Struthio camelus: one gene and its partners. The protein of the gene in region 4 interacts with the protein of the main gene of each other region in a pairwise test. Links are inferred from orthologs where the notes say so. Each region holds a gene or a part of one and is shown on either strand. Other genes may lie near its edges.

Region 1 (8,060 bases), on a different chromosome or scaffold from region 4:
AGTTTTTAACCAGGACATAAAAGCAAGCCCAATTTAACATTCTCCTTTAGTGAATACTACTGTGCAAAAGGTTGCATGTTCCTCAAGAAGAGCAACATCTACCATGCATCTTTAACACAAAAATACGCTCAGACCATCATAGATGACAAAAGTTGTATCAGAGATTAGTTTGGGCAAGGGGCTGAGATTAAACAGGTTTGAATTTTCTTAAAATAACGATCAATCAGTTCTCCACCAAAAATGAGAACCCTGAAGGTATGTTTATTGTTTCCTTTCGCTGTCTGCTACAGTCTTGTAAAGACTTCAAACACCTCTGTAATTTTTGCATGACTGTATCAGAGAAAACCCCACAACTAGACATAAAAATAAAGACAGTCTTCTGTTGTTCCCTGTTATTAGCACTGCGCCTCACCCACTTCGGTGTTCTCACATGCAGCAGTGAAAACTAGGAAGCCCCTCTTAGCTGGCTCTTACGTTATCCTTTGTAATGGGAAAATGCAGCACCTCTCAGCTGCAATAAATTGTCAGTTTTTCTTTAGAAGACCTGGAAAATCGAAGTAAAAAAATGAGGGAAAGTCTAAGCAAGCTCCAGACGCAAGGCAGGAAAATTAAATTTTACTTTTGTTTTAGTTTTATGCTGATGTAATTCCAGTGACTTCAAAGTATTTATTGGCCATTTACATAATTATGAGAGCAGACTCTGTCTCCTAAGGTCAAGTTCTGATGTAGCCTAAACTGGTTTACTCTATGAATCTGGTCTATAAAGCCCTTCCTTTGATATATTTACATGCTATAAACAAGTCAGAACACTTTCTGAGAAGCAAATATTATTCAGAACTTTGCAGCCAGCAAAAACACAGCCCTAGGCCCAAGCTGAAGTGGGTAGCACTTTGGAAATTTCTGCAGCAGTTAGTGGTTGGGCACATAAAAACACTCCACCCTCCTGCCTCAGGCAAAGGAGATTATGTAGACCGTGCAGAGTGTGCTTCATGCGTCAGGATACATCATTTGGCTCGAAACAAGATCAACAGATTTCAGAAAAATGGGAGAAGTGGGCAATGCATATGTGCCTTAAGATTTAGTATGTTGACTAACATCTCCATTACTCATTGCAAATGTGTAGTGAGAAAAGCCCTAGCCTTTGTGTCTAGCAAGAGGTTAAATGGAAGTTTTATGATGCTTCTGGTGCACTGAAGGAACAGAACACATAAAGGTCAAACTGGAATCTCTAGACCCAGAGTCAGTATCCTTTATTATTACGATCTACTTATGCTGGCTTTGCTACTACAGATGATGCTCACAGTGGACTAGAAAATATTCTTGTCCTGTCAGTGTTGATATCTGAACTCTAGTGCTTTTCTGGTAATGTAAGATTAAAGAGAGAGACCTTATATAAAGAATATTTTTCACTTGTGCAGTCAAGTCCTGGGACAAATTGTCTGCCGTTAAACTGGTGTAAACTGAAAAAAAAATCTAATCATTGAAGTGTAATCATAGAAGCACCAAAGCGTACAGAAAACAAAACTAGGAAGCACATTTTCCTCCTTGTTCTTTAGGGAGACAAGTTTCTCTGCCAGGTTCAAAGGGTATGTTCTGCAAATAGATCTCAGTAATTTTATCACTCAGTGAACAATTTCCTATAAAGACTTTTTTTCTCTTATTTTGCTTAAATAAAACTATTCTGGTCGCAAAAGGAATAAAAAGTAATCAAACAATATGAGAAACGTTACACAGTGTGCCATAAATATGCCAATATTGATAATATATGGAGCGTCTCTTTTTCCTCAGGGGAAACAGATGTACTTTTTGAGAGGATGGGTTTAGTCTAATTCTTGCTTGCAATCATGAAGTGTTGGATAACATAATATCCATCTCTGTTGGGTTTTTGCAATAAAAGGGCTGGACAGGAACTCGTAAAGAGATTACAGTTTAGTTCCCAGCTGTGTCAGGGACCTCCTGCCAGATCTGATCTTGGGCAAGTCGCATGTTTTCACAGGACTACATAGGTAAACTTGGTAAACACAGGTAAATACTGAATACCAACCTGAAACAGGATCTTTTCCAAGAGTGATTATGCATTGGTGAATACAACTGATAATATTTCCTCTTCTCCTCTTTGTGTAGCACATACAGCTTATAAACCCGATGTGTGGAACTGTCTTTCTACATTCACAGTTTCAGACACGCTGGAATCTTCACCTGGGGTGGGGCATGTGGGTGTTACTGCAATAAAATAACAATGATAACACACAGGGTGACTGTTCTGTGTATCTACTTTTTCATGTGTTACGTTCCTGTAAAACCTTCCTGGAGTCTCAGCTGGCAAAAGATCTGAAATCTCAAACTTTCTGTTGCTCTTGTGCAACTCAACCACTAGCATGTCTGTGCAACACAGCATGACTAATTTTTAAAAGGAACCATCACTGAGACAGAAAGAAACATGTTTTGAACTTGGAGACATGCTGTCTCAAAGCTGCTGTGCATCTGAAATCCAGCTCACTTGTAAATGTGGAGTAGGAGTTCTATTAAAACTGTTACTGTTGTATTGAGTAGCGCTGTTCTGACATACCATTTTTTAAAAAAAGATTTACAACATGAAATTAGTTGCAGGTATTAAACAAAAGGGATATGTCACATTGGGATTTAACAAATGCCTCAGAATTCCTTCAAGCAATAGTTATCATCTGAGTTTTTCTGCTAGATAACTAATCACACAGCTTGGTCGTATAACGTAACTTCCCCCATTTGCTACTGAGAACATTATTTCTACATCCATGCCACCCATAGATAGTCAAGTGATACTCAAGGAATAATGCAAAAGCCCAAAGGTTTCCCAAATCGACTCATTATAGATTGTCTGTGAACGCTTGGATGCTTTTTACTGTAGGTGTTAGGCGAGAGAAAGGTTGCTATCATCACAGTGACTGAATCTACGCGTACTTATGGTCAAAAGCATGGCAACTACCACCATATTGTCATGCCTACACTCCACTGTGCTTACTCACCTCTCCAGGCAAAAGTGTATCCTGTCTCAATACAGATGGAAGTTATGCAAGGCAATGGATAAATGCAGCGTCCTCATCTGTGGTTGCGAAGAGGAATCAGGCAGGAAAGTAATGCAGTTCTGCCATGCAAATTAAGGGCATGATCTGATGAGACTCGCAAGTCTGTACACTCCACGCACAGCAATCGGTACGCGCTGGGTGAGGACTCATCATGCAGTCCAGCTGCGGGCAGTGCCGGAGGGACCACGGATACATCATCCATCTGCTGGCGGCAGACTGGGAAATACAGCCCTTACGGCTACTTCAGCTGTTTTTCCTCAGCTCTGAAAGTTATACCGGAAAAGCCTTCTTTAGACAGATCAGTCTTGAGAAATGTAAATCCACACAGGGAGAACTGGCCCGCAGCATGGCAGGGGATTTGGCTGAGAAGGCTGATTTGAGAATTACGCTTGGTCAGCAGCGCCTTTGAGCGCCAGGGGCCTCTGGTCCAGCGCTGCGCCCCATAAGCGCACCCGTGGCTCGGGCTGCTCCCGCACGGGGCCGCTCCCTGCGGCCATCCCGTCTGTTTTTCCAGTCATTTCTTTTTCAGCTCTTTCGCTGTCCCTTACATTTGAAGCCTGGATTTCCGAACCCCCTTGGCTTGCCCTCCTCCCAGTGCCTTCCCCCAGGACAGCTTCCCCCCTTCTGTGAGGAGACGGCAGCTGAGGGGAAGGCGCAGCTCGGGGCAGCGGGTGGCAACCCCTCTTGGCGGCACCGAGTGGACCGGCTGTGCAAGCACGACCTCCACCAAGATGGCGCCAGGCCTTGGGCAAGGTCTGGCCGTAACACCACACAGCCGCAGCAGGCTGGTGCTGCATGCTCCACTGCAATGGAGGAGTGTGGGGGATCCTCAAAGGTGCCCTGAGCCTGGGGCTCCACAAGCTCGGCCCCATCTCGGCAGCGACGGCAACCACGCTTTGTTCTTTCGTTTCCTTCCTTCCTTCCTTCCTTCCTTCCTTTCTGCCCGCCCGCTCGCCCGTCCCACTGCCACCTTCGCGCGCCCGCCCGCGCCGCTTTGCCCGGCGCGCGGAGCCCCACCCGCCGGCCACAGCGGCGCAGGCGCGCTGCGAAGATCCCCCTGGCCCCGCCCCTTTTCTCCGGAAGCGGGAAATTGAAGCGGCTGCTGGCGGGCGGCCCTTGGGGGTGGGTGCGCAGGCGCCTGGCACGCTGAGGGGTCGGCGGCCGTTGGTCGCGGCGGCGGGTGAGGTGCTGGCGGCTTGCGGGGGTCCCCTCAGGTCGGCGGGGTGCCGGGTTCCCCTAGCGTGGGCGGGACGCTGCCCCCCTCCCCCCCCGGGCTGGCGGGGTCGGTGGCACCCCGGGGGTTGGCTGCGCTGGCTCTCAGAGGGCTGCTTCGGCCACAGCGTGCCCCGCGCTCCGTGAGGGGCCTCCCGCCCCTCCGCGGCCTGCGAGCAGCCTCTGGCTTGGACCGTGGCCTCTCGGCGGGCTGCGCCCCCTTTCTGCGCTGCCTCTGGGCCCTCCTCGGTGTCCTGGTTACGCATCGGGGGGGGGGGTGTGGTCTCAGAAGGAGCTCTGAGGGGCTGTGACCCTGCACAGGGCTGCCCAGCCTTCTTCCTGCCTACTCGAGGGGTGGAAAACTAGCCAGGCATGACAGTGGCGGAGGGTCACTGCAGCCCTCGGTTTATCGGAGGAAAATGTAAACGGAGTGAGTGCTGTTACACAGCGCAGCCGTAAGCAGGAAAACTGAGGCACCTAGCGTCGGGGAGTTGTCCAAAGCCCCGAAGAAGTAAGTACTGGAGTGCAAAATTGTCTTTTGCACTTCTGGTCCAACTTTTCCTTACTTAGTGGACAGAGTTATTTTTCTGTGTGATTAATAGCATTACTACTTGAAAATGCAAAGGATTCTTAGGCTGAGATACTTGGGAAGGCTTTTAATAGTGCAGGAGAGAATTGTGAACATGTTACTCTAGAGACAGTTACAGTGTTAGTGAACCCTTGAAAAATCTTTGTATTCATGGTCGTTTCAAGACAAATACTCCGCATTAGAATGTAAAGGCAGTGAGTCACAGGATTTTCTTTTTTTTCCTGGAAAGAGTTGAACAAATGTTGAAGCTAGCTCTCAGGTTTGTTGCTTGGTAGTAAGAGATTTATTACATACTTGTGATGTACTACATAGGCATGATGTAGCTTTTTCAGGGCCTCTTGCTCAGACTGAGAAATAATAGTGATAACTTACATTATGTTTGACAGGTGCTGTGGGCTTCCTCTTTAATGCGCAGATTGCCAAGATACTTTTGTATCAGACTTTTGTTCCTACATAAAGTTTTTCTTTTTTAATGAAAAACCGTATGTTGAATTTTGAACAGCTAGGGGGAATGTTGACTTGCAAGATGAATGAGGACTCATGCCCTTGTTACAGAGCCTGGAGGACCTGAGTGGCAGGGTTAGTAAAGCTTTGGTGTACTGAAGCTTTGATTGGTTCCATTCCTGAAGAGGAAGCCCTTTGTGCCAGTCTTGTGTTGCCTGGCAACTTGTTTACAGGTTTTTATTTTCAAGAGGCTTCTGTTTCAAAACCCCTAATTGCAATTTCCAGGTACAGGGAGGTATAGCTGACAATTTTCCAGTTGCATGCTGGTCACTAGCAGGTGTTCACAAGTGCTAAACTCACTTAAACACTGCCAAATCAATTTAAAGTTGATACATGCTGAGAAGGTATGACTTATCATTTTAATTAGGGTGCTTCTCTGAGTAAACTGGGGAGGCTTAGTTTTAATCTAAAATTCCACTTGTGTGAGTAATTACTTTTTCAAGTAGCTTCCCCCAAAAGGGTCAAATAAGACAGTAGATTATTTTCACAGACATGGGCACTCTTTTCTTTAAAGATTAGTTGTTTATGTAGACAGACAATAAAAATCTCATGGCTCCCAGCAATTCTTTTATCTCTACTTGGGATGCAGCTAAATGGAAGGAGTGATTCTTCACAACCTGGCTTACTAAGGATTACTCCTGTGAGTTAGACAAGCAGTAAGGGTCATTCAGGTTAAGAAGAAAATAGAGTTTGTTTGAAGTGAGCTTTTTGTTGATAAGTTTGATGTTGCAGGATCTGACCTTAGGATTTATAGGCATATTATAATGGGCCTAGGTGCTTCATAAATCTTGCTCATTTTTAACACTTGAAAGGGCTCACCAATGTTATAGGTGGAAAAAAGCTAACACTGAAGAATAACTATACACTTTTAGTAATATTTATTTTAAGGAATACATGTTGTAGCACTTTATGAACGAAGGAGATGTAATAAACAAAATTCACAGTAAGATGCTTTGTAGCTGGTAGTACTGCTATTCATCCTCTTGAAGTAAAGCTGTTCACAATCCAAAATGGTTCTTAGCAAAAGAAATGTTTGTAGAACATCGGCAGATGTCTTTTTGAACGTAACAGATGGTAAGCTGTACTATTTCTTCTCAGGGCTTTTTACTCATCCCCGCAGCCATGTGGCCCATTATAATTAGGTAAAAATGGCACCGTGCATAATTTAATGTTTCTTTTAACAGAAATTGCTTTCTATCTGAAGATGGAAGAACCAGGGTTTGCTAAATCGACATCTCTGTGCAGTACTCCAAAGGATTCTGGGACAGCAGCTCCACAGAGCACTAGTTCAGGGAAACGGGTACGAAAACTTAACTTGTTTCCATTAACGTGACTTATGAGTGACAAAAATACTTAGAAATCGTCAAGTAGTCACTGAGGAACTGTTCACTGGAAGGCTAAAGTTATAAGTAGCTTATAACTGTAATTGCAAGGTTGTCCAGGTAAGAAGTGCTTTTGGTATACTTTGCTCTAAATATGAAAGTCTGTTACGAATGCAAAATGATGTAGCAGTATACCCAAAATGCCATGTAAATGCTAATAAATTTAATAATGTAATTTATTTTTATTTTTTTAAACCTCCTTTTTTAATTTTGTCTTTAGCTTCCTCGAATCAATCTTCTGGGTTCCTGTGCATGCAGAATTACTTCCTGTGACTTCTGCTTGCGCTTGAGCAAAGAAAATAAATCATCTGACTCTTGCTCTATGTTGTTTTTAAAAGACTCCAATATAGACTCTCCCATGTGTTTGTCTAGCAATGTTAGTCTTGGTCTTATTTTAATAGCCTTCTCTTTTGTGGCTTGTGACATCCTGAGCAGTTTTTAAGTTTCCTATGCAGCTTCATATGCATGTTTTTTATTTATTTAGCTCTGAATATGGAACACGCTTTGCATAAAGAACTCGATGCACTGTGCTTTCAGTTTGTATATTCTCTATAGTGTCTAGCTCTACTTTGATGTTTGTCTTAACACACAACTTAACATGTTGATGCTGTCAAATTGACTATGGCTTATATTACAAAAAAAATCCTTATGTAATTGAAACTATGGGGGAAGTAGAACAAAACAGAACAGAATTAACCAAGCTGAAATGTGCCCTGTGTCTTCTGTACTGAGACTTTGACAAGTAAGTTTGTCTTAATAAGGATTACAGCACGTGGTCCTTGAAAATTTGGAGGCACAGCTTTCCCATATCTTGCAGCTATGTGTGCAAGCACACATGAAAGGAAACGGTTAACTTTGTTCAAGTTTGTGAAAACTATAGCAACAATTAGGAAGTTAGGCTTTACAGTGACCTACATGTGATGTATTCTATGTAAATAATAAACAGGATATGAATCAAAGATAAGGTTATTCTGAGAAATCAGAACAATCTTTCTCCTTTTTTTTGTTGTTCTTTTATTATCTTTAGCCAATGAGTGCAGCTCTGAGGGAACGATTAAGAAAAACAAGACGTTCATTTAATGCTAGTTTTACAGTGGCAAAGCGGCTCAGAATAGACACTGAAGAAAAAGACTGTGCTGCTTCTGACGAAGCTTCTCTATCAAAGAAGAATATAGATTTTTCCAGATTACAAGATAGTCCTGAAAGCCTGGAAAGAAACTGCCCTGGTCATGCGCGTTTCAAAAGTTCTTTACAGAAAAGCTCTCCCTGTGGATCAACAGAGAATCCTTGTATGCTAAGGGCTGATTT
Region 2 (7,698 bases), on a different chromosome or scaffold from region 4:
TTAAATTGGTAGGATATTTCTGTTCCACTTTGGTTGAACTGGTAGATAATTCATCTTGTGTCTTTTTCTCAGTTCGTTCTCTGTAAATGGCTTTTTAAAGGTATAAATGTATTTATTACTGGAGAAAAACCTTTCTGTAATGAAACATCAAAGCAAGCACCCTAGTCAGCTGCATTTGGAGCTGTCCTGTCCTGTCAAGGTCATAAACTATCTTCTAATTCTTTAGAAGAGAAAAAGAACGTGAAATACGCATTTCAAAGGATGTTGGTAGTATTGCCCTCTCCTGATCTTTTATAGGGGAAGATGATCTGTCTGAGGGCTGTGGCCTTGCATGTGCTGATCCTGGTAGGAGAGCCTCCCTGGTCTTGCCTGAAAAGCAGCCCAAACCAGCCAGAGAACAGGAGAGAAAGTACTGTAATCTCCATTTTACCCATGGAGAACGGAAGCAAAGAAACCCAGCTGGGAATAACCCACAGACCTCCCCAGTCCTAAGGAAGGATGTAACAGCACAACTTCTTCAATGACTGCAGAAGAAAGAAGCCTTAACGGTCAGGTGGCTAGGTTTTTTTTGGATTTTCCTTTACTAGCAATCAGTTTGCTGCACTCGCTACCTCTCAAAGCAAAGACTTCTGAGTAGGAAGGAGAGAAGGAGGAAAAGTACCTCTCTGAGCTCCCAGCTTTTCTCTGTTCTAGTGGCAGTTGTTTTTCTCCCATCTTCCTTCTGCTCTTCCACACTGCTTTTATTGTTCCTGCGAACATCCATCCCACCCAGGACTCCCGGTTGTGGATGCAGAGAGCATGTTACAGAAGAGTCAGTCTCTCTGAAATGCAAGAGAGACAGGACTTAGGAATCCAGGGGAGTAACTTTGTGCTGCCTAAGCATCTGAGAGGAAATCACATGTGATCAGAGCGCTGCCGTGCAGGCATACAGTTATCATATCTCCAGGTCACAGGGAGGGAATAGTTAAAAGTTGTTACTCATTGTGAGTAACTGTCGTCCGGCTGTTCACAGACACCTGTCGATGAATCAGTGCAATCCAAACACATCACCCACTGCAGTAACACGCATATCATCTCCTATGATCTTCAGAGGCTGCCGCACAGCAGCGATATGATGGGAGACTTGAACAGCTAGGGCAGGCCCTTAGGTTGGAGGTTGAGTCTCTGCCAGGATTGCCCATACTCATAGAAAGCTGACATTTCCCTGTGCCTTCGCTCTGCAAGCAGAGTGGGACAGAGATAACCACGCGCTGCCTGGCCCCAAGGCAGAAATCAAAGGAAAGCAAAACATGATTTTATAAAGGGCTCAGGCTTGCTCGCAATGTGCGTGTTAGACTTGTCCACCTGCTTCAGCCTGAGGAGGAAAATTCCCAGAGCAGAGAGGAGAGCCTCCACGGCAGAGACTCTGGCCTGGGTCTCTAGAGAAGTCTCTTCCTCTGTGTGTCCTCTGGGTGAGGGATACTTACCTGGCCTCCTTGCCTTGCTCGCTCGCTAAGCGTTTTGCCCTTTGTGCCTGGATCTCTTCACAGATGGCAGCATACGACTTATCTGATGGATGCTCACCCATCACCCAGACCCAGACATCATTGTCAGCACCGAGCTTCCATTTCACCGACTTCGCGCTGGCTGGAAGAGAAGGAGCCTTTTCACTAATGCTGTTTGCTTAGCAGCCCCATGCAGGGTCTGTATCCTACATGCTGTGCCCTGGCTGCTGCCACTGGCAGAGCCTTTCCCAAAAACAGCCTTCTGTGGGAAAAAGCAGGGAGGTATCTGTGGACAGGGTCCATCCCTGTTAGAAGCTCCTTTGGGACACAGCATGGACCCTCCCCCCCGTTTCATTTCACAGTGCCGGAGCTAGAGTCGTTCTCTGTCAATAAAGGAGATGTTTCTGAGCCCCAAAGGAAGAGAGGAGATACCGCCATTTCCTTTCTTCCTCTACTTCCTTGCCACTGCCCTCTTCAAATGCCTTGTCCAGGGACTGTGTGAGGCTGGACAACCGGCAAACAGAGCAGGTAGGAGACGGCTGGGGGAAGAGGACTCCTCGGCTCTGCGAGCCAGCATGCTGCGTAATCCTGGCAAGGGGATTTCGGGTCTAAAAGCCTAACAGGCAACCCCCAGCAGATTGGTGCCTCAGCCCAGGCAGTGGCACTCGCCAAGCTCCCGTATGACGCAGGCTTGTTGCTGGCACTCCAGGACAGGCATTCATGTCCGTGGTTATTTTATACACAGATTCAGAGGCTCCGCTCAGTGGGACACTGATGAGATGCATCTCGTGACCCAGGGGACAAATAAGCCATGTCTTCCTGGGAAGGGGAGTTTAGTGGTTCGGTGAAGGACGGTGTGTCTGGGCCTGGGCCAGGGAGTGAAACAAGCTGGATGCCAGGCCAGAAGAACCCCCATAGGAGATGGTTTTAGTTCTAATTTGGGAATATGAGTAATGTGTCCTGGGAGAAGAAATTACTCTGGGGACACATTGCCTCCTCTATCTCGGGATCTTGGTCAGATCTGTGTCCAAGGAGGAAGCAGCTGGCAGGCAAAAACTTACCTTTTCTCAATGGTGGTTTCTTGGCTGGAGCCTTGTCTGCGGCAGCTTCTCTTTCCTTCCACCGTCTGATCTGCTCTTGCCTCATCTTGAAGAAGAGGATCTGCTTCTGCTCCTCACTGAGTTCTGCCAGCAGCTCAGGATCAATGTACATGTCTGATAATATCTGTTTCAGCATGGCTGGAGGTTTCAGTTGCACACGTTTGTGGCGATGAGCTCCAGGGATCAGCTCCTCTTCCTGGCTGCAGTATGGCTGCACTGACAAGAAAGAGTCCGTCCCTGCCTGAGCCTGGAGCAGGAATGCAGGTGTGCCAGGGTAATTATACTTCTATCTGGGTAACTTTTTTTTTTTTAGCTCAGACTTCCTGCACAGACTGAAAAAGTAAATACGAGCTTAAAACCTGCTATTAAGATTCCTTGAAATAACAGGTGACAGACACAGCCTCCGCCTGCTCTGCAGGGACAGCTGGCCAGAAGGGAAGAGTTCTGGAGTCGGTGGGCAGGTTGTATTTATGCCCTGATAAACTGAGCTGATACCGTATCAAAACAGGGAAGAGGGCTGCGTGCTACAGTCATCAGAGGTGTGGCTTGTCCGTGCCCAAGCAAACATTCCTGCTGGGCAGGGGATCAATGGACTCAGGACTAGAGGGCTCCTCCTTCTTCGGAAGAGGAAACGCTGTGAAACAGGGCGGCATGATGTTAAGAAGTTCAGCCGCTCTCTTTAACCAAGGAAAGATTGGGAGGGCTTTTGGCTCTGCTCTTGAGGTGGGAGTCAGGAGTTGCCTGGTGGGAATTTTGGGGTACTCCTGTCCATCAAATGTAGTGTCCCAGCAAGCCCAGGGAAGGTGGATTGCTCAAAGCCAGATAATTAAGATTGTCAGCAGCTGATGAAATGAGGCAGCTCCAGGTCTGACATTTCTTGCTGATGTGCCTTCCCCACATGGCAAACCTGGCATGCGCCATCCACACGTGACAAGCCAAAGAGGCAGGGGAGAAGGAGCACTCCTGTTCCTGCCCAGGATGCCAGGTCACAGCTAGTGCATACAGGTAGGGCACCCGGCACCCAAGCAGATGTGCTTTGTGCCAGTAGATTGACCTGTGCAACAGGGGTTTCTCTGGAAAATTAGGAGCACTCCTGTAACTAGAGGAGCTGCCAAATAGGTAGTGCTGGGGGGATGGGGGGAATGGACTAAAGACCTTGAAACCAACTCTTTTGCATATCTCCTCTGGATAAACTCATGGAAACAAGGAGGTTGTTCAGCAGCGCGTTCAGTGACACTGTTGTCCGACCCTGGCGCTACTGAGGGAGGAGAATGCGGGGTTGGGGGGGAGGTGACGACAGCTATGTTGTAAAGTACAGCTGCAGAAAGAGCTGCAAGGGTGGCTTGCTAGCCAGAGTGAAGGCGAGAGGTTGCAGGCGCTTTCTGAACAAGCTCTTAGGAAATGCAGGTTCACTGATACCCATGGTCTATGGAAGAGGTGTTGGGCAGCTGCAGGCTAGGCGCCCTCTCCGAAATGCTACTGCTGCCACTGGCAGCAGCGGGCAGAAAGGCTGAGTCTCAGTGCCTGAGGAAGAGGAGTTTACAATTGTCAGAAATCGTGGGAACCTGCGGTGGAGAGAGTGGGTGCAGGAAGGGTCAGTGTGGTTGGCCCCGAAAGGGAAGCAGATTGCAGCCTCCTGCCATCACAAGGGCCCTGGGAGGAGACTGTTACACCAGAGGGGCAGGCACATGGCGGGGCAAGCAGTTTGTCCACACTCGCCCGAAGCTGTAGAGGTCAGTGACCCCTCGAACAGGGAGGGCAGAATTTGATGATGGTAAAATAGGAAACGATAAGTGGGAGCAGAGGTTTAGCAGGTTGCATGGAAAATGAAGGCTAGCGGGATTACTCCTGTACTTCTACACAAATCCTGGGAGTTGGGGAAACAAGAAGCATAAAAGGCTTAAGAAGCTTCGAGGCATAGCCCACTAGATGGGAGGAAGGTGGTCAGCAGCACATTAATGTGGAAGTATAAAGTACATGGAGAAGATGGACTGGCCCATGCCAGGGAGAAGTGGCAGTATGCATTCACTACTGGAGTCAAATGAGTTCCCTTTGTTACTGTAAAGGAAATGGCTCCTGGGGATCCCCATGGCAGGTCAAGACAGGAAAAAATGTTGGGAGCACCTTCAGCCTCAGCGCATGATTGCTCTGATTTTTGCCTGGAGTCCTCGTCTGGGAAAGAGGTAGAAGAGCAGGCTAGAGAAGGGTAGGGCAGAGCAGCCAAGGAGGGCAATAATGAAGCTTTCCAAGGAGCACATGCATGCAGCCCATTTAATTAGGGAAAATGAGGCAGTGTGACAGCAAAGCTTCCTCAGTCAGCCAGGCAAGATAACATCTCCTGGGCTTATTCTCACGCTGTCTCACCCCGCCTGCCTTCCCCATTTCACCCCCACACCAGACCAGGCATGCCTGAAGGCAGCGTGCCCTAAAGCTGCGAGAGGTAGAGCACTCAGGCCTTCCTGGGGCACCGCCAAAGCATGCCGGAGACAGAGGAGTTGAGGAGCGCCCAGGGCATGGCAGGCTGGAGTCCTGACGCAGATTTGGCAGGGAGGGCCTGAAATGAGCTGGGAGCAGCTGGGGGAGCTGTAGAGGTGAGACAAGGGGCTGCTCAGGGCCTGAGAGGACAGAGGGGTCCCGAGTGTGAGCACAGCCACTTTCAGACAAAGCCAGAAGTAGGACTCCCTGGGGAGGTGCCCTGAACCAGGCAGGGTAGGGTAAGAGCCTTTTTGTCTCTGTTTTGTGTGTCTGACCAGTTGCTTTACATTTTCCCTCTTTGAAAGGTTAATTTAATTTCAGAAACAGGGAGCTGTTGTTCCAAAGTCGTGTTGCTGTTTAAACAAAATGGCTTGATTGGTTGAAAAAAGGCTCTTTGGGGAGCTCCTTGTGGGAGGTAGTTGTGGCTGGGCAAGGCTCTTGAGTGATCCTCTGATAAGAGAATTGCCCCAGCTCAGCAGCCAAAGAAAAGGGCTCAGGCTGTCCTTGAGCGGGGGGGGGGGGGGGGGGGGGGGGGGGGGGGGGGGGGGATGGCAGGCTGTGGAGAAGGAGCAGCTTTTTGCTGTGGGGGGGAGCTGGGGCGCAGTCCCCTCTTCCTAGGGGCATCTGAGCTGTGTGAAACTGCAAAATTGGGAGCTTGCTGGGAGTTTGCTGTTTAACCTTCACTGCCTTCTGTTCTTAGGCGCTGCCTGGAAAAGAAGCTGTTGTTGGCAAAGAGATGAGGGTATCACAAAAGCACCCTTCAGTCAGGCCTGGGTCCCTTAGGCTTTGGAGTTTTTTCTTAGGATCAGCTGAAGTCAGTTCAGTCTGGAGGACACAAGGTGTGGTGGCTATTTCAGATCAATTCCTGTCCTCCAAACAGAATAGCTCTTGGGAGGGTTGCTCTGGTTTTAGGGGATGTGACAATCTCTTTGTGTTTAGCCCAACACAGCTAGTGCAGGCATTGGCCTTTTGAACAGTAATATGAATCTGAAAAGCTTGTGTGGTGTTTTTATTTCTGTAACCCAAAAGTGCCTTGAGCTGTGAGGCAGCGCACACAGACTAAGAGCTCTTTTGCAGCCAGTATAAAGCAGAGTATAAACAACGCAGAAGCAGTATAAACAGTATAAATCATACACGTAAACAGTATCAAAGCATGGTATTAGAAGAAGAAAGGAAATGAACAGCTATTTGTAACTAAGCTGCAAGGTGGGAAAGAAGCATGGAGTTGGTAGTAGCAGCAGGTGTTTCCATTGGGATAGACTGTCCCTCGCAAATGTTTGTGTGTGAGGGTGTACTTCTGTGTGTGAAGAGTTGGTACCCAGTGGGTGACTGAATAGGTGCAGCATGGGCTTGGCACTCCCCTGCCTGTTTGTCTGCAAGGGCTTGATGTGCGTTTGGGGGAACACGGTTTTTGCCTGCAGTTTTCTAAAGATGCCTAGGCTGAATTGCTGTAAGGTGCAAAGTACAGAAAGGTTCAAAATATTGAAACCTTGGGAGAAGTAGTCAGATCTACGTTCTAGTGGTACAATCCGTGTGCCCTTCTGACAAAACCTGCAGCTACTTTGCTAAGTGGAGAGACCTGCAGTTTCTTTTTAAGAGGAGGATGTTATGGAAACAAGTTTGGAGATGCTTGTCTGAAAAACATCCTAGCAGAAAGAAAAGTTGTTTGATTTCTAAAAAGAAAGATTTGAAAAGAGCTCGCCGCGTCTTTGAGGCATAGTGCGCATTCAGAATACCCAGGGTTCTGGGTATCGGCGATGCCTGTTTCACCATGCCGTATGGATGAAATGCTGTGCTTCTACTCTGAGTTGCTGGTCTGTGTGCAGAGGTCTTCAGTTAAGAGCCTGAGGTGTCTTCTGTTTGGAGAAACAAGTAGGGCTGGGTCTTCAGTGGCTCAAAAACAGTAACTAAAGAGGCTGGTAGCTCTGCACATGGACAAATGTGGTGGTCTGGCAGAGATGCCTTGCCTGGGTCAACAGAAATGAATAGTTGTGATGTGTAAAACTGAAGGGGTTTCTAACAGAAGAGACTTGTTGCCAGCAGGGAGGTGAAACCCTGTTATTCCCTTCAGTTGTGAAGGTATAATTTGTGGTGAGTGTGGGCCAAATGCTGAGTGGTTTGTTAAGCAGAGGGTGTTGACTATGTTTGCCAGGGAGAAAAGCCAGGCAGCTGGGCAGGCCTCTCAGGAGCTCTGTGTTCTGTCTGGCTTGGGAGCAGCAGAACTGCTGTTCTCCAGAAGCTCTAGTGACCTTTGATTCAGGATGGTCCCAGCTCCCTGGCCAGAAGGGGGCTTGGAAAGAGGATGGCCCAAAATGGGCCCGAGAGGATGTCCTTGCTGTGACTGAGCAGAGGTTCTGTGCAGCTCTGGCTGGTGGGATTGGCTGCAGCGGACTGGAAGTGCAGGCCCCTAGCTCGTTTCCCCTGCTGGTGGTCATCGGTCCTGCATTCTGCCTCTTCATACAGCAGTAAGCAGCTTGAATCCCCGTTGTCTTTGTGTGGGCCCTTCTCCCTGTTTGGCTGCCTGGGAGCTGTTTGACACACGGCAGTTTGGTTTCTCTTGCAGAGCTGAAAGTTGCAGTGAGCCAAGCTGCAGTGATTCAACTGTGTTTTCTTTCAGCTTCTTTCCCAGGCTTGCCTTT
Region 3 (7,349 bases), on a different chromosome or scaffold from region 4:
TAAAATTCCTTTGGTGTCCCCATTTTTACATGTTGTTAATCATTTGGTCGTATAGTTTTAATCATCAAGACCTGTGGGGCTTGGCTGAATTTCTGCAAAGCAGCTGTTTCTTAAGAGTGTTGTGCTGTTTAGGATAGCTTTGCAGGGGGGATATCTTGAAGAAACTGTAAATATTATAGATAACATTTAACATTTTATTTAGTAACAGATAAGAGCAATCTTAAACACAATAAAAGTTCAGTGTAGCCTCTTCCCAAGGAATGTGAGAGACCTCACAGAGACTGAGTTTAGTTGCTATCCAGTTCTTGGTGTCCTTGCTGATACTGCCGAGAAATTCAGATTTTATGATGAACAGAAAGTGCATTCACAAGACAGGCCATCTGATGGCCACTGTTTGGGTCCCTGGTGTGTACACTAAATCTGGAGCACATTCTAGGAACAAGGATTTAAAAGGCAAACTATACATATATGTATACCAGGATGTGCACCTGTTTTACTATTGCTACATTATTACTACAGATTTAATAAAGGCTTATATTCAGTGGAATACTAGCCATATAACTCTGGAGTATTGCTGCAGTAAATAAAGCAAAAGTTGTTATGTAAAAGGTCAATAGCATCAATAGCTACATGAAAAATAGAATAAAAGGATAGCATCAACCTTGAACGTCATCTTTCTCTGGCTTTTCTTTGCTCGCTTGACATGAAATTTCTGCTTTGGGTTGATTTTGTTCTTCATCAGGTGGAGTTGTAGCAGAGAATGGAGTAATCCTGCTTACAGCTTCCAACAGCTCTCTTTCTGCTGTGTAGTGTGGGTCCTGGTCCATTGCAAAGCTACCACTGAAAGATTACAGTAAGTATGACATGTCTTAATAGCAGGCCTTTAGTGGATCCGGTCTGGTAATTTTCTTCTTTATTTACTTACTCATCGATCTCTGTGAACAGATTTCAGGGCATCTATAGTTTCTTTCATGAAAACTAGAGTAATAAATAGAATTATCTACCTAGCTAGTAGTGAAAAACTATGACTATTGCCACTGAAAGTGTGTGGAAGTCTTTTTGTCAGATCAAAATAAAATGTGGAAACTATAAGGAGAAGTTATGGTAAATAAAATTACGTGGGGAACCCTGACTCCATTTTTGTGTGAGATTTTTGTCAGAAACTTCAGTGGAGACAGATTTTTGCTCCTTGTATTTTGCCCTCAATCTTGAAATAATAGTATGGATGAACTCAAATGCTGGAAATAGTTAGTATAACTAGCAGTTTGACTCTCTCATATTGTTAGAATTTACTCTTCTTAAGACTCCAGAATTTGGCATCTGTTCTTAGCTACTATGTTGGCCTGTAGGGCAAAACAAGGTGATATCTAAAATAATACTTTTGTCATATTTCTATTTCATTTTCCCTCCAGAAACTTGTCTCTGATCTGTGAGAACAAAACAACTGAATCTCACAACGACTAGGTAGAAGGAAAACTGAGTCGTCTAATTATTATACAGAAGCTTCTCTTGACTTTCTCTTTTTTCATCCATACGCTGTGCTTGTGACAGATTCATATGTCTGTCCTATGCTAGGACTTCTATTTTATTTTATGTTCATAAAATGCCTAATGCAATATAGCCCATAGATTGGATTGGCCATTCTGCCACATACCCGTCTCCCCAGGACGGATTTTTTTTCTAATAACTGATTACAACTAGTATAACTGATTATGTTATACTAGCAGTTGAAAAAGTTTTAAGAGCATCTTAAAAACTTTGCCAGTGTGACAGAGAAACTTTGCTCGGAATTCAGCCAACAGGGGAGAAAATCAAATAACATAAAAAACTATTTTAAAACATTCTAATCTTCTTTGCACATATGTAAAGATAATGCCGAAGGAGAGGTTATTAGGTAACGAATAAGCTTAGGACAAGGGTGTTACTACATATCACTTTGCTTCCTATTGTCTGCTTAACAATTATGCAATGCTGGATACAGAGGTGAAGCAATTCCTTCGGGTGACCTATTGTTTTCTAGAAAACTGCAAAGCTATAAAGAGAAAAGCACTTGCTTTCCCCTCTGGAAATAATGGAGGTGCAAATCACGTTCCTCTAACACCTTTCCTTTGCCTGGCTTGGATAAGCAATGTACACAAGTCCCCTCCTCTTTAGCAGGAGCATCCTGGTAGCCCTCATGTTTGGACTTTGGACTAGGTCTCCCAGGAGGTGGAAGTCCTCCCTGCTCTTCTAGCCTTCCTTAACATCTGCTTTTTGGACATGAGAGTCGATAGTTACTTAATTTCCAGCGGTTCAGACCTTTTCATAATCATGACAGTTTATCCCATGGCTATAAACTTGAAAAATACTTTTTTTTAAATGATAAGTGAAGGTTATCTCGATTATACCAGGCTAAATAAGGAATCTGAAAATGGTCAAATAATTTAAATGAGAACTTCTCTGTGGGTAAAGAACTTTTCTTTACATAAGCAAAATTATACTTATGTTCAAGATACATATCTTTATAAATATGTCTTATCCTTTGTAGATATAAAATTAGATATATAGTTTATATATTTTATAAGTATATAATATACATTGTTTATCTATGTGTAAATACGGCTTAAAAACATAATTTACCACAGAAGTACAACACGACTGTAAACCAAAGGATGCAGAAGTCAATGGTATGACATACAAGTCTTCATGTATCTGCCTTGCGAAGTGTCTATACGTTATATCAACATTTAGTTTCATTTTCACATCTAAAAGTCATTGTAAGCTGTTTTAACTAAGCTACTATTTATTCCTACCCTTAAAAAAAATCCAAAACAGTACAAAGAAACCCGCAACAAATTGTACAGTTATACTTTGAAGAGGCATTCAGCCTGCTCTTTTTGAGGGTAAACGCCTCTCAAAGTGCTTCCCCGCTTCCCGGAGCTATAGGTGACGTCGGAAACTGCCGCACACAACATACTGACCTGGGAAGTTCGGAAGAGGTTTCAGCTGTGGCGCATTTTGCAGTCTGCATAGATCCACGGAGGGCCTGCTTCTCGTTTTCAAAACGCAGAAAAATATGTCTGTGTTTCCTTGTGGCGGGCGCGTTCTGCGCTTTACAAAAAGGAAGGAAGAAGTCTTGATTAAATCAGGCTTCCTCGTCCAATTGGCTTGCTGTTTCAGCGGCGACCGATTGCGCACGAAATTTCCTACCGGCCGTGAACGGTTCTTGCGCGAGCGAGAGGAGGCAGCTGCTCGGGCCGGGGCGCCAGCGGTGCGGCACGCGCAGGCACAAAACGGGGCCGGGCAAAGAGTTCGACAGGAATTACAGAGCCGGCGGGAACTCCTCCACGCGGATTATCAGAAACCAAAAAAAACACAATTAGCAAAGGAGAGATGAGGAAGAAAAGAACCCAACGTGTACATGTGTTTCTGTGGGAAAGCAGGCCCTGTAGGATATCTTTAAAATGTAGACTTACCATCCAGTTCAGGAGAAAAAATGCAGGTACAACCACAGCAAGCAGCCTCATTCTATGCACGCTTACATATTTGACAGCAGTCCTGACTCTATACCGTGCTTAAGCGTATGATTAATTCACACTATCTGCTTGCTTAAAGTTCAGAACGGAGCGTTATTATGTCTGACATGACCGCTAAACTTGAAATGGAGTTATGTGTGTGCCTAAAATTAATTCCAGGCTTAAATCCCTTGTTGAACTGAAGACAAAGTGAAGAAAAATGACACATTAATCCACATATCCAGTGCCTGGAGGCTTCCTTCTGCGGTTTACTTCACTTTGGAAGATGGCTTAAAGTATCGGGATAGCTATTTTTTGGTAGATAATACAGACGCTATCTTTTATCGTGAAGTCAGTTTCCCAGTTGCCGAAGCTCACTCACTGGAAAACCGGGAGATTTTAATGCAGCACAAATGTGAGGGGCATTCATCCAAAGGAGCACATGGATCCTGCCCACACATTCCTTTGACACAAACAAGTTCAAATAATGTAAAATCGGGGCCATTAACTGGCAATGCCTCTCTTCAGCTTTATTCACAGCATAAAACATTGCCAATTCAAACTTGGACTCAGTCTAAATGTAGAAGTTTTGCCAAAACAGCTGTCAGAATGATGAAAAGTCACTCTTCTACAGCCACAGCCATACTGGCAAGACCCCTCGTGTAGACGCTGTTATACTGGCAGAGTGCTTTAGCCAGAATAGCATGTTCCACTCGGGAAATGGGTTTAAGTCATACCAGAAAAAAATTCTTTTGCTAGTGTGAGATGTGTCTCCACAAATGTGTGTTTGCCAATACAGCTCCAAGGTGTAGGTATACCAGCCAACCCTTTTAAGTGTAGACAAGGCATGGGTTTCTGGCTCGAGATCCTTTCCTTTAAAGTTAGATTTATGTTTTTGGTTACATTCGTGAACAAAATCCAAGGGGGATTTCACTCATGCTGACAGTTCACAGATGTATCCAAGCTTTTTATTTTGAATCTGCTAATTTATGTACAGCCAAAAAGCAATATATTATTTTGTTATGCTTAGTGCTGTTGTCCTACCCTTGATACAGCTGAAGGAAAAAGGAAAGTATATTTTTCAGTATGCTGAGCACAAACTTTATGGTCAATTATTTCAGAGGTAATTCCTGGTTAAATTAACTTGCATGAGTAAAAAGATGAGAAATCTCTTATGGCTGACTGATATAAATTTAATTTACAGAGCAAGGGTGTTCTGCAAGAATCCTGACCGCCTCAGTAGAACCAGCTGTTGCAGCCACAGCCCGTTGTTAGAAAACACCCACGGGACTATTGCTAAACTCATTCCCAAGAGCCATGACATCCGTAGTGGTTTTACGAGGCTGCTGCTCCTCAGCCTCCTCCCACGTGCCCAGGTCTGGTCCAGACAGCCCTTCACTGGGACCAACCGTTGTTAGTCCGGCAGCACTTTACTATTCTAAATGTCTACTGGATTAGCACGTTCAAAAAAGTCAACAGTATACAGTGGTGCTTGCTAGCAGAATGCAGAACTAATATCTTTCTCTTTATATCCTCAGTTTTACTTCCAACAGTCAAATACAGCATATGCAAAGGATTAAACAGTAGAAAAGGGGAATTTTTACAAAGACAGCATAACATTCTGCGGGATGAAGAAGTGCACTTACAGCGTCAGTTCATCTGACTACTCATAAAACTATGGTAAATTTTAATGGAAAAGCATGTTCTGTCACATTCGCTGAAGGAAAGCACTGACCTTATCTGGCACACAGAAAAAATGCACAGTATTAAAATGCATTCACCAAGCAATATGGAAAGAATGCTCTGCTGCAACATCGGAGCTAGGCGAGGTTGAAACCATAACATTTCAGTGCATAAAAATAGTTGTCATAGGAGTTTTGCTGGGTCCTCCTTGCCAATTTAGGATGGAAGTACTCACTTTAGGAAAGTCTGTTTTAGGAAGAGTGACCCGAAAGTTTATTTCTAACACTTGGTAATCAGCCACCACATGAGCTAGTCTTGCGATGCTATATCAAGGATGCCTATATCAAAAGACCATGTATGAGCTTTTGATGGGTTAAAGGCCAGAAGGGACTGCAGTAGAATACCCTGTCTTGATTTATACCTGATTTTTACTGTTCAGTTATACTCTATGCTTGATTTATACTCTGACAAAAAAATCCACAGCAATGTTCGAGAAATTATCCAGATAGATAATTCTGCTTCCGGTTATCTTTTTTTTGCCTATTTTCTGTGGGGACTACAATAATATAAATCTGACTTGGGCAACACGTTAACATTTTACAGATTACACAAACCCAAAGAGCCACAATATTTAATCATAGAATACAAAGTTGGTATTATCTTAAAAAATGTGAGAGAAACCAGTGCTATATGTAAACTGCAGTTTACTGACAGATTTTTACCATTGTAATGGGCACAGCAAGCTCCTGTCCTGGTGAAAGACAGAAGATTAACAGATAAGTAACGTAAGTGTTACTTATGTTAGTTAGAGTATCATGTCTCAGCTGTGGTTGTAATATGCTTTTTATAAAAAACTCTGCAGCTTCTGCCCCAATAAATACAGCTTCAAGTGACCTAGTAGGGTTTGCGCTGCTTTTCCCTCTCAGGCACCAAACTATGTAACTAATACTTTTTTATTTTATCTCATCATTTGTTGGAACTGTGGATGATGAGGAAAAACAAGAGGAGGCAGAAATACCTATTTGTCCAAGTCCTCTTTTATCAATAGCTAATATTTAGAAAGTACTGTAATGTTGTCTTTGATGCTTCTACAAGAACTTTTCCTCTCATTTTTAATGCAGCTGGATAAATAGCTACTATTTCCATGTTTGAAGTAGCAGAAAAATTCAGCTGTTCTTCATGAATATTCTGCACTTTTGGGATGATGTTGTGATAAATGAATATCATACTACTATCCTGACACAGCACAAAAGTATGTTCAATGTTATCTATATAATGTTTAATTGTAGAATGTTGTGTCATTTGAAAGTGGAATTTGTTTACCATTCTTCCATTACTAGAAAAGACGTTTATCAAGAGTGTGGTCTAAAAAAATAATTTGCAGTTTAATGGCAAATATCTCCTTGTGTTGGTGTTACAGACAGGGTTTTCAACATGAAAGAAACATAACAGGTCCATTTTACACTGCCAAAGCCCTGTTATCACTTTACAATTCCTTTATACTTCTAAAGGAGTATGAAGGAGCTTTAGCATAAATAACAGCCTTGGCCCTTCTTTCATCTGTGGTCTGTCAGTGACACAGAGCTGTAATGCAAGCCCAACGGGTCAATAGCATATTAACTCAGGTTAAATTTTACAAGCATTATTCTGCTGATAGAATAGCAGATTTTCTAAATGGTATATGCTGAAATAATAGAGGGTTAAATACATAATAACATAGACTAGGGAAATACTTTTAAAATATTTGTTTTAGGGCTACTAGGTATAGCATACCTATTCATTCCTAGCTAAAATTTTTATATGTTATTCTTATAACTTGCCTGTCCACCTTTCTTCTTGAATATGATAATAGTATACTTAGGCCAGTATTTGTATGCCAAGTTCCATGTGTAATGTATTTATACCTGGAATACAAACATCGTGAAATTTGGGAAAACAGGATTTACAGCAGACATACTGATGCATTTTGTAGCAGTATTAAAGGCAGCTCTACAAACAGAGGAAAATGCAGCTGCTTTGTATAGATAGCCACCTTGAGGATTAGCGGAGTATAACTGTGTTTTATTGTGTGCCCTTCTGCAAAACAAAGGGAATGTAATGCATAAATCATAGTATCTTTTCAGTGCTATTTATTCTTTAAAAATTAAGTATGACTTTAAAATGGAATTCTAC
Region 4 (7,356 bases):
TTTTAGGTGAATAATTAAGTGCATCAAGGACAAATCTAGTTACTGTCTCTTTTAGGTGGAGGATAGTTCAGATGCACAACCATAATATGTACAGCTGGGCTTTCAGAAGTAGACGCACATTTAATTTATGATAAACGAGATACAATTAAACTTAACTCATAATGAAAGACATCTAAGCTAATCTGCCTTTTCCTGAGGTCAAAAGGTTGCTTGTGAACAAGTGCCAGGTCCCAGGTGACGCAGTAGTGTGTTAAATGACTTGGTGATAAGTCTGAGGCCTTTGATTTTCATGAGGCTGTGGACAATTCGTTCTTGTAACTGTCTTCTATTAAGGTTACCAATGGCTAAAAAGCACTCACAGTACTAACGCGGACTAATCATAACCCAAGTGATGGCATCTCTGGGAAATCAGCCTTACCTTGACTTGAGACAGCTCCTTTTGAGGCGCTGCAAGCTGTTTGCTGATCCTACCCTTGGCTTTCAATTCTTCTACTGTCTTATAGTTGTATTTGGGCTTTTTCTTGCCTCCATTAGGATCCTTTCTCCACTGACTGAGCTCTTTTTGAAACTCCTAAACAAAAACAAGCAGGAGTTGCGGGTTGCTTCTCTGTCATGACCCAAATTTGTCTCTCTAATTTTTTTTACAAAAAATTAACCAACGAAGAATGCTGTACAGCAAAACAACATGGGAAGTAGTAAAGCTGAGGGACAAATTAGCTCAGATGCTGTGGTCCGCCCAAACATGCTATTCATGACGGTAGCAATATATTTCTCCTTTTGTTAAAGAACCAAAAAACAACCAGAAAGAATGCATCCAAATGTTTCTACCATTTTAGCCAGACAAAGAGGATTTATTCTGGGGGGTTCCTAGCAAGACTACCAGAATAAAGGGAGCCAGAATTTATGAAGAGAACGTTACGTTGACAAGAAAAATACATCTAAATGAAACGGTGTTAGGTCTTTAGCTTCTTACCTAAAACTGGCCTAAACAGTTTTCTCTGACATAGAAGCTGATACCAGACCTGAATTTCATAAAATACAACATAACAATGAGAAAAGAGATATACCAGGAATCATACACATACCTCTTCAGCTTCTTCTTCTGAGTCAACAACAGGGAAGTCTTGCAAAGACTGATTGGTTCTTTCAGAGCCATATGCCCCTACAGCTCCTTTGCCTTTTCTTTGTTTGGCCTCAATTGGATTGATAATACCTGAACAGGACAGTAGTTAGATCAGAAAGGACTACAGTTTAGTTACTCAGACAGAATTGAAAGTGCTTTTCTTACAGTAACTTGAGTTATCAAATTAGCAAGAATTACTTTTTTTGAGCAGACACCGACCAAATGCAGAGCATTATTCACATTTGTATGTCAGTGCTTCTTCATTCTACTGCATAAAATAACGTCTCCTTTCATTCTGAGCTGACTACTCTTGAAATTTTATCTCCCTCCTTTTTCCTTCTTCTCCTCATACAAAATAACGAAAACAAAAAAATGGCCTATGGTACGTTAAACGCAATTGAATCTTATCATAAAAATTCAGATCATTTGCTAGAAATGTCAGAAAATGAGAATGAGGTTTTAAGCCACAGATAAAATTCAGATGAGAGATTGGATTCTTGTGAGTCAGCAAAAAACAAACAAACTTGCAATCACAGTACCTTGAGCGTTCTTCCCAAGACCTCTCCCGGGGACATAACCCATCTTCTGGAGAAGCTTCTGCCCAATTCCCTTAGTGTGTCTCTCCCAGCTTCCAAAATCCATGAAAGATTTGGCCCCTCCTACAAAGCCTTTCTGACTGGGCTTGAAATTACCACCCTATTTACAAACAACAACAAACTTTTTAAGGCAATTTAATAACCAAGCTTTGCATACGTTAACTCAAAAAGAAGGCACTCTCCTGAAAAGATTCAGCTATCACCACATGGTACTGCTGTTTCTCCGCCTCACGATGGCAGAGAGTACCACTGTTGTGTCCATTTAAGCAGCCTGCCACTTAAGAAATTTCCATATAAGCTGACAATTATTAGAGTCTGTCGCTGACTACAGCTGAAACTCCTACCTGATCTTTTCCGTATTTGATAGCTTAAAATACGGTTCGGTTTTTAATCTATAACATGCTCACGCTAATCATATTGTTCTGCGGGAATAAATCAACCTTTGGATTTTAATAACTGAAACAAGGAAATAAAACACGAGCATTCTTTTATTTTTAACCTCAACTGACCAAAATGAATATTAACGAAAAGGGCTCACAAAGGAGCAACGTTCCCAAGGACACACAACACTACATCAGTACAACTTTAAAAAATATAGAAAACATCTCCTTTAACTACGTGCACTATCAGTTCTCTAGTTTACAATTATTTCTCCGTTTCTTGAGTACTCTATTACTGGCTCAAGAACTTTGATACTATTACAGCTTAAGTTTCATAAATAGATTACATAGAACTAAAAAATTTCTGGATAACTCACTGTTTTTAACTTCTTTGGCACAAACTCTTTAGGGATTTCTTCTTGCTTAACAGGCTTTTCGTCTTCATCGGAGTCTTCCTCTGACATATCCTCAGCTGCTGACTTTTTCAGCCCAGCACTGATGAAGTTCACGGGGGCTGAGTAGTCCCTAGAACTATATATTAGAAAAAGGCTTCTGTAAGTGCTCACGGCACGAATTCTGTCCCAGCAGACCCGTGCGCGTCCCCGCGCAATCCTTGAAACAGTCCTGCTAAATCCCACCCTGAAAGGAAATCTTAACAACTCCTGGCTAACTTGGAGCATGACGTTATTGCTTTTTCTGCCAGGAAATAGCCACGCTCGCCCCTTGGGCAGAGGGACGCGGCCTGTGCGCCCAGTCTGAGCGCGGGCACCTCGGCCGGCCCCGGCCCCGGCGCCCCCGGCCCCCCCCCGGCCCGCACCGCTTGCCGCCGAAGCTGGGCCGCTCCTCGTCCGAGTCGCGCTCGGCCCACACGCCGTAGGTGGCCTCCTCCTTGCTCTGCCGGTGCCGCTGCCGGTGCGGGTTGAACTCGTTCTGGAGGTCCCAGTCCGACACCTCGAAGCTCTCCATCTCCACGCCGTCCTCCCCGTCCGTCCCGTACAGGTGCGACATCGACATGGCGCCGCCGGGCCCCGCACGGCCCCGCACCGCACCGCGCCGTGCCCCGAGCCCCGCCGCCGGGCCCCCACCGAGCCGCTCCGCTCCGCCTCGGGCCCCGCCGCCGGGTCCTCCTTCCCCCGCCTCCCCCGAGCCGCCGCCTCCCGCCTCCCGCCCCGCTCCGGTCGCTCCGGTCCCCGCCGCTGCGAAACGAGCCCCGCGGCCCAGAGCGCCACCCGGAAACGAACCCTCTCCTTCCGGGTCACGCCCCCGACCGCCGGCTGGAGCCACTCCCCCTACCATAGAGACTCTCGCGCCCGGGGCCGGGCCAAGCCGCCGTCTCGCGCGCCGGCCGCTCCTCTATGGTCTGGCGGACCGACCGTGCCGGGCCCAGGCCGCGGCCGACACCGGGGCCGGGCCTCCCCCCACCCCCCGCCCCCCAATCCCCGACACCCCCCGTCCCGCCCGGCCCCCCCGCGCCCCCCGGGACACCGGGCCCTGCCGCCCGCCCCGGCTGCCGCCTTCTCGGCCGAAGCGCTGCTCCAGCGGCGGCCGTAAACAGAGGGGCCAAGAACGAGACAGGCGGCCTCATATATTAACTCTTAAATAGATTCTGTAAATTACAAGTGAAGGAAGGGCAGGAGACTTGTACAACCAATGCTCTACAAGGTTATTAACACCTATTTCTGATTTGCAAATTAGAGAACAGCATTACAAGACACTTAAATACAGCCTTTAAAAGTTCTCAAGTAATTGAATATAAAATCTCTTTCCAATGCACGTCGAAAGTCCGATTGCAATATTTGTTTCCACAGCTTCTTTTACCACGGAGCGTTCAGAAAAGGTAGACAACCGGTATTTGAAGTGGAAAATGTTTGGCCTTTGCAAATAAATGCAAGTACATTCCTTGTATAGCAGTCATTTTGGCAATATTATTAGCAAGCAATATGCTTGGATAACAGATTTCCACTTTTGCAATTGCAAACTCTTCTTTGCTGGACAACAAAAGGCCATTTGCAGCATTCTGGAAGACAAGAAACACAGTCTTAGGGATAAGACAGACAGATTTAACACAGCAAATACATGACTAATGATTTTAAACCAGCAGCTACATAACAATTTGTTAGATAGCTATCTAAGCCCCAGCTCCAAGATAATGGGCATACATCATCCATCCTTATTCAATGCTTCTGCTTTTTTAAGCACAAGATCCTGCTTTTAAATATAAAGTAATTTTAAAAGGTTCATTTTTAGAAAATTTTCATTCACCGTTTAGCATAGATGCTACCTGAAGAGAGAGACAGAAAAGGATCCAAGATATGAACAGTTGTTTCTGCAGAAACAATCAAGGGTTGCGGTTTTGTTTTTTTTCCGAACTGACAGCACGCGTGACCGCTTTATCTTCTCTTCGGCGAGGACAGTGCCCATCCTAGCAGGCTACTGGGGGAGCTGCTCAGCACAGCTGCACGTTTCCACGCTCCGTTTCCATGTTGCCAGCAGGGATATTCAGTAATAAGCCTACCAAATGACTGATTCTGATTTTGCTGAAGTAAGCCTGTTTTCAGAGCTCAGAAAAACATTTTCTCACAGACCACCTCACAGAGTTAGCAGTATTGTTCTGAAAACCTAAAGCAACTGTGAAGGATCATTCACATAAAGAGGATGCCTGGAGCAGCCCAAATAATCAAGGGGCACAAGAATTATACAAGCAAAACACTAACTCTGGAGCAATGCAGGTAGATTTGCATGAGTCCCAAAGTACAAGCACTTACCTGGAAATCATTAATTTATTAGTGAGAAGATGATGTATTCTGAGTGACCTAGAATAACCAACAAAGTAGAAGGATCAGTTTTCTGTCACCACCTGCAACTCTGAACATTCCCAGTGTTCCAAGAAGCAAGAAAGGGAAACGTTCAGGACAGAGAAAATTGTGGCAGCTACAGATAATCAGCAGGCACGAGGCTTTGCCAAGAGCCTGCAGCGTCTCCCTGACCTCTCATTTCCCCAGAGCATCTGCAGCATGAACCACGCACACTCGCTTCACCAGCAGCTCTGTTTTCTCATTTCAAGTCTTGGCCACGCATCTTTTCTGGAGAACTGAGAAATCTTTTATTTTTTGGTCATTATGTGCAATGGCTGTTGGATTGCTCTGGATTATAAAAGACGGGTTACCAATTGTTTTCAAACATAGCACTGTAAGGAGAGCCCCGTATACTTCTGACACCTGAAAACAGTCTCACAAGTACAAGAAGGAATACTTGTAATCTCTAAATTAGATAAGCCATGCCCTCCCTAAACATGACAAGGCCCAGGACAATGAAAGCCTTGAGAGTTTAGGGTCAGACAACAAGGTGGCAAGGGTTTTAAAGTAACAGAAGAAAGCGCCCAAGTCTGATGCGTGAACGCAGAGCTCCACAGCAAGAAACCATAAGCAAGAGCAGGCCAGGAGAGGTGATGGAGATGAACAAGCAGGGTCTGAGGAGCAGAAGAGCACAGAATACCATCAAGATTTTGTAGGACAAGACAGGATATCAAAAATAAGAACGCGGAGGATGGGCGTGGTGCATAGCACAAAGGAAAGGAATACAGGATGGGCTGAAGGAGAGACCAGAGAGGGGAGCTCTCCCTGCACTTGGGCTGCCCAGCCTGCATCTGTCCATGAGAGGAAGCAAGGGACCAGGCACCCAGGATTAACCAACAGGGCCAAGCCCTGAGAAGTGGCATCAGACTCTTACCTGAAGGTGACCTTTCAAGTTGGCTGGCGTTTTATAATCTCCCTTTAAAACCTACGGAAAAGACAAAATTAGAGTGACCCCTTCTTGAACGGTGGCTGTAAAATATCAGTAACTCCACGTTATTAACTGCATGGATTGCCCCAGTGTATCCAAACCAGCAGAGCTCTCCTGATGGGCGTTTGTTCTACATCATGCTGATGCTGGGGAAATAGCTGGAGATTTCCTCCTTAGTGACTTTTTAAGCAAAGCCAGGGAATGGCATCCTGCCGGCACAGGGGCCTGACAAAAGCAGGTTCTCTGGATCCCTCCTTAACCTGGAAGGGGAGAGTATTTAGACCTTCAGCATCATGCCAGTGCTCCAAATTCATGCCGAGAAGTACTAGAAGGTCCACGTCAAAGACTCCAAGAGTCTCTTAAACCTGCTGGGGGAAGATATTCATCCAGATCATCTGTGTCCTTAAAGAGCTCTCAGCAAGCACACAGAGCAAGGAGGAACTGTCAGAGACCAGAATACTCATAGCGCAAACCAGCTCAGGGAAGTTCTGAGCTTCCAGTTTAGTGGTTTTACTTTCCTGTTGACCTATGGATCTGCTTATAGCACAGCAGGGACCAGTCCAGCCTGCAGGCGTTCCTCCACGCCCATCAGTGTGACAGAGGACATCTGGTCCAAGAGCACTGTCACTGGGTGTGCGTGCAAGGCTGGGGAGGCTGCCGAGTCCAGCCGCAGTCCGGTCTGCTTCAAAGCGTGAGAAAAATTCCCTCCGTCTAGTAACTGCTGTCTGTGGCAGAAACATGTGTCAGTATTCTGAAAAAAATCCTTTTGGTCTTTGCTCAAATGCATTACAAGCCTCCACTCACTCGCATTCCTCCTGGGACTGTGGGGAGCGGCTGGTGAGCTACACACGGACACAGCACAACCTAACCCCTTCTCTGCGGCCAGATGGGAGCTTCTAGAGCAAACAGCTCTGCATCTAGATAACACAGTACACTTCCCATGCCTGGTACCAAGAACTGGGCTGGATCAGGGAGGGACAGGCCGGTATCTGCCACAACAGACGAAATGAACACCGCCACAAAACCATAGGGAACATCATTAGTCTGAGCCACCCTAGTCTCAAGCTACCGCATTCATCTCCGTTTTAAAGTAACCTCTGTGTACTGCATGTCCATCTATCAGTCATAGTCTCCCCAAAGGAAGAGAGCTTTTGTGTCTCCAGTGCTCTTTTTTGATTCAATTCAGCAACCTCTTCTCCTGCAGAGGGCTCTGCGGGCACAGTGCCTGCACAGGGAGGTCTCTGTTCCAGCGTCAGCCCACCCTTCCCGTAACCGCCTGGCCACGCTCCAGCCGGATGGCAGCGACACTCACCCTGTGCGTGTTGTTGACAACTAAAGGGTCCGGGTTGCCGTAGTTGGGTGGATTGGCGTACGGGTCGTAGCCGAGCCTGGCAAGCATCGGCGCTATGTGGGCCATGTCTTGCAGCACATCCCCTGGGATATGTCCGATCCATTTAGATAATGCCTCCATGTT

The links.
Region 1: the proteins of TFIP11 (region 4) and SFR1 interact in binary tests that used the Homo sapiens proteins (3 or more experiments, as listed by UniProt). The two-hybrid records come from large-scale screens. The link is inferred for Struthio camelus from reciprocal best matches to the Homo sapiens genes TFIP11 and SFR1.
Region 2: the proteins of TFIP11 (region 4) and SH2D4A interact in binary tests that used the Homo sapiens proteins (3 or more experiments, as listed by UniProt). The two-hybrid records come from large-scale screens. The link is inferred for Struthio camelus from reciprocal best matches to the Homo sapiens genes TFIP11 and SH2D4A.
Region 3: the proteins of TFIP11 (region 4) and SNX20 interact in binary tests that used the Homo sapiens proteins (3 or more experiments, as listed by UniProt). The two-hybrid records come from large-scale screens. The link is inferred for Struthio camelus from reciprocal best matches to the Homo sapiens genes TFIP11 and SNX20.

What each region holds. Positions count from the first base shown.
Region 1 is NC_090948.1:14,480,164-14,488,223, reverse strand, and holds the start of SFR1 (swi5-dependent recombination DNA repair protein 1 homolog), read left to right. Parts: upstream 1-5,034; 5' UTR 5,035-5,396; coding exon 5,397-5,445; intron 5,446-6,554; coding exon 6,555-6,670; intron 6,671-7,779; coding exon 7,780-8,060. UniProt on the Homo sapiens protein: Component of the SWI5-SFR1 complex, a complex required for double-strand break repair via homologous recombination. Acts as a transcriptional modulator for ESR1.
Region 2 is NC_090945.1:5,625,199-5,632,896, forward strand, and holds the start of SH2D4A (SH2 domain-containing protein 4A), read right to left. Parts: upstream 3,138-7,698; 5' UTR 2,721-3,137; coding exon 2,546-2,720; intron 1,627-2,545; coding exon 1,467-1,626; intron 822-1,466; coding exon 662-821; intron 25-661; exon of another isoform or gene 1-24. UniProt on the Homo sapiens protein: Inhibits estrogen-induced cell proliferation by competing with PLCG for binding to ESR1, blocking the effect of estrogen on PLCG and repressing estrogen-induced proliferation. May play a role in T-cell development and function.
Region 3 is NC_090951.1:17,360,843-17,368,191, forward strand, and holds the start of SNX20 (sorting nexin-20), read right to left. Parts: upstream 3,122-7,349; 5' UTR 3,011-3,121; coding exon 2,961-3,010; intron 841-2,960; coding exon 662-840; intron 1-661.
Region 4 is NC_090958.1:19,921,316-19,928,671, forward strand, and holds the start of TFIP11 (tuftelin-interacting protein 11), read right to left. Parts: upstream 3,203-7,356; 5' UTR 3,114-3,202; coding exon 2,917-3,113; intron 2,631-2,916; coding exon 2,477-2,630; intron 1,820-2,476; coding exon 1,663-1,819; intron 1,214-1,662; coding exon 1,086-1,213; intron 572-1,085; coding exon 419-571; intron 1-418. Other genes in the region: TPST2 (protein-tyrosine sulfotransferase 2), read right to left, coding at 4,883-4,912, 5,829-5,879, 7,195-7,356. UniProt on the Homo sapiens protein: Involved in pre-mRNA splicing, specifically in spliceosome disassembly during late-stage splicing events. Intron turnover seems to proceed through reactions in two lariat-intron associated complexes termed Intron Large (IL) and Intron Small (IS).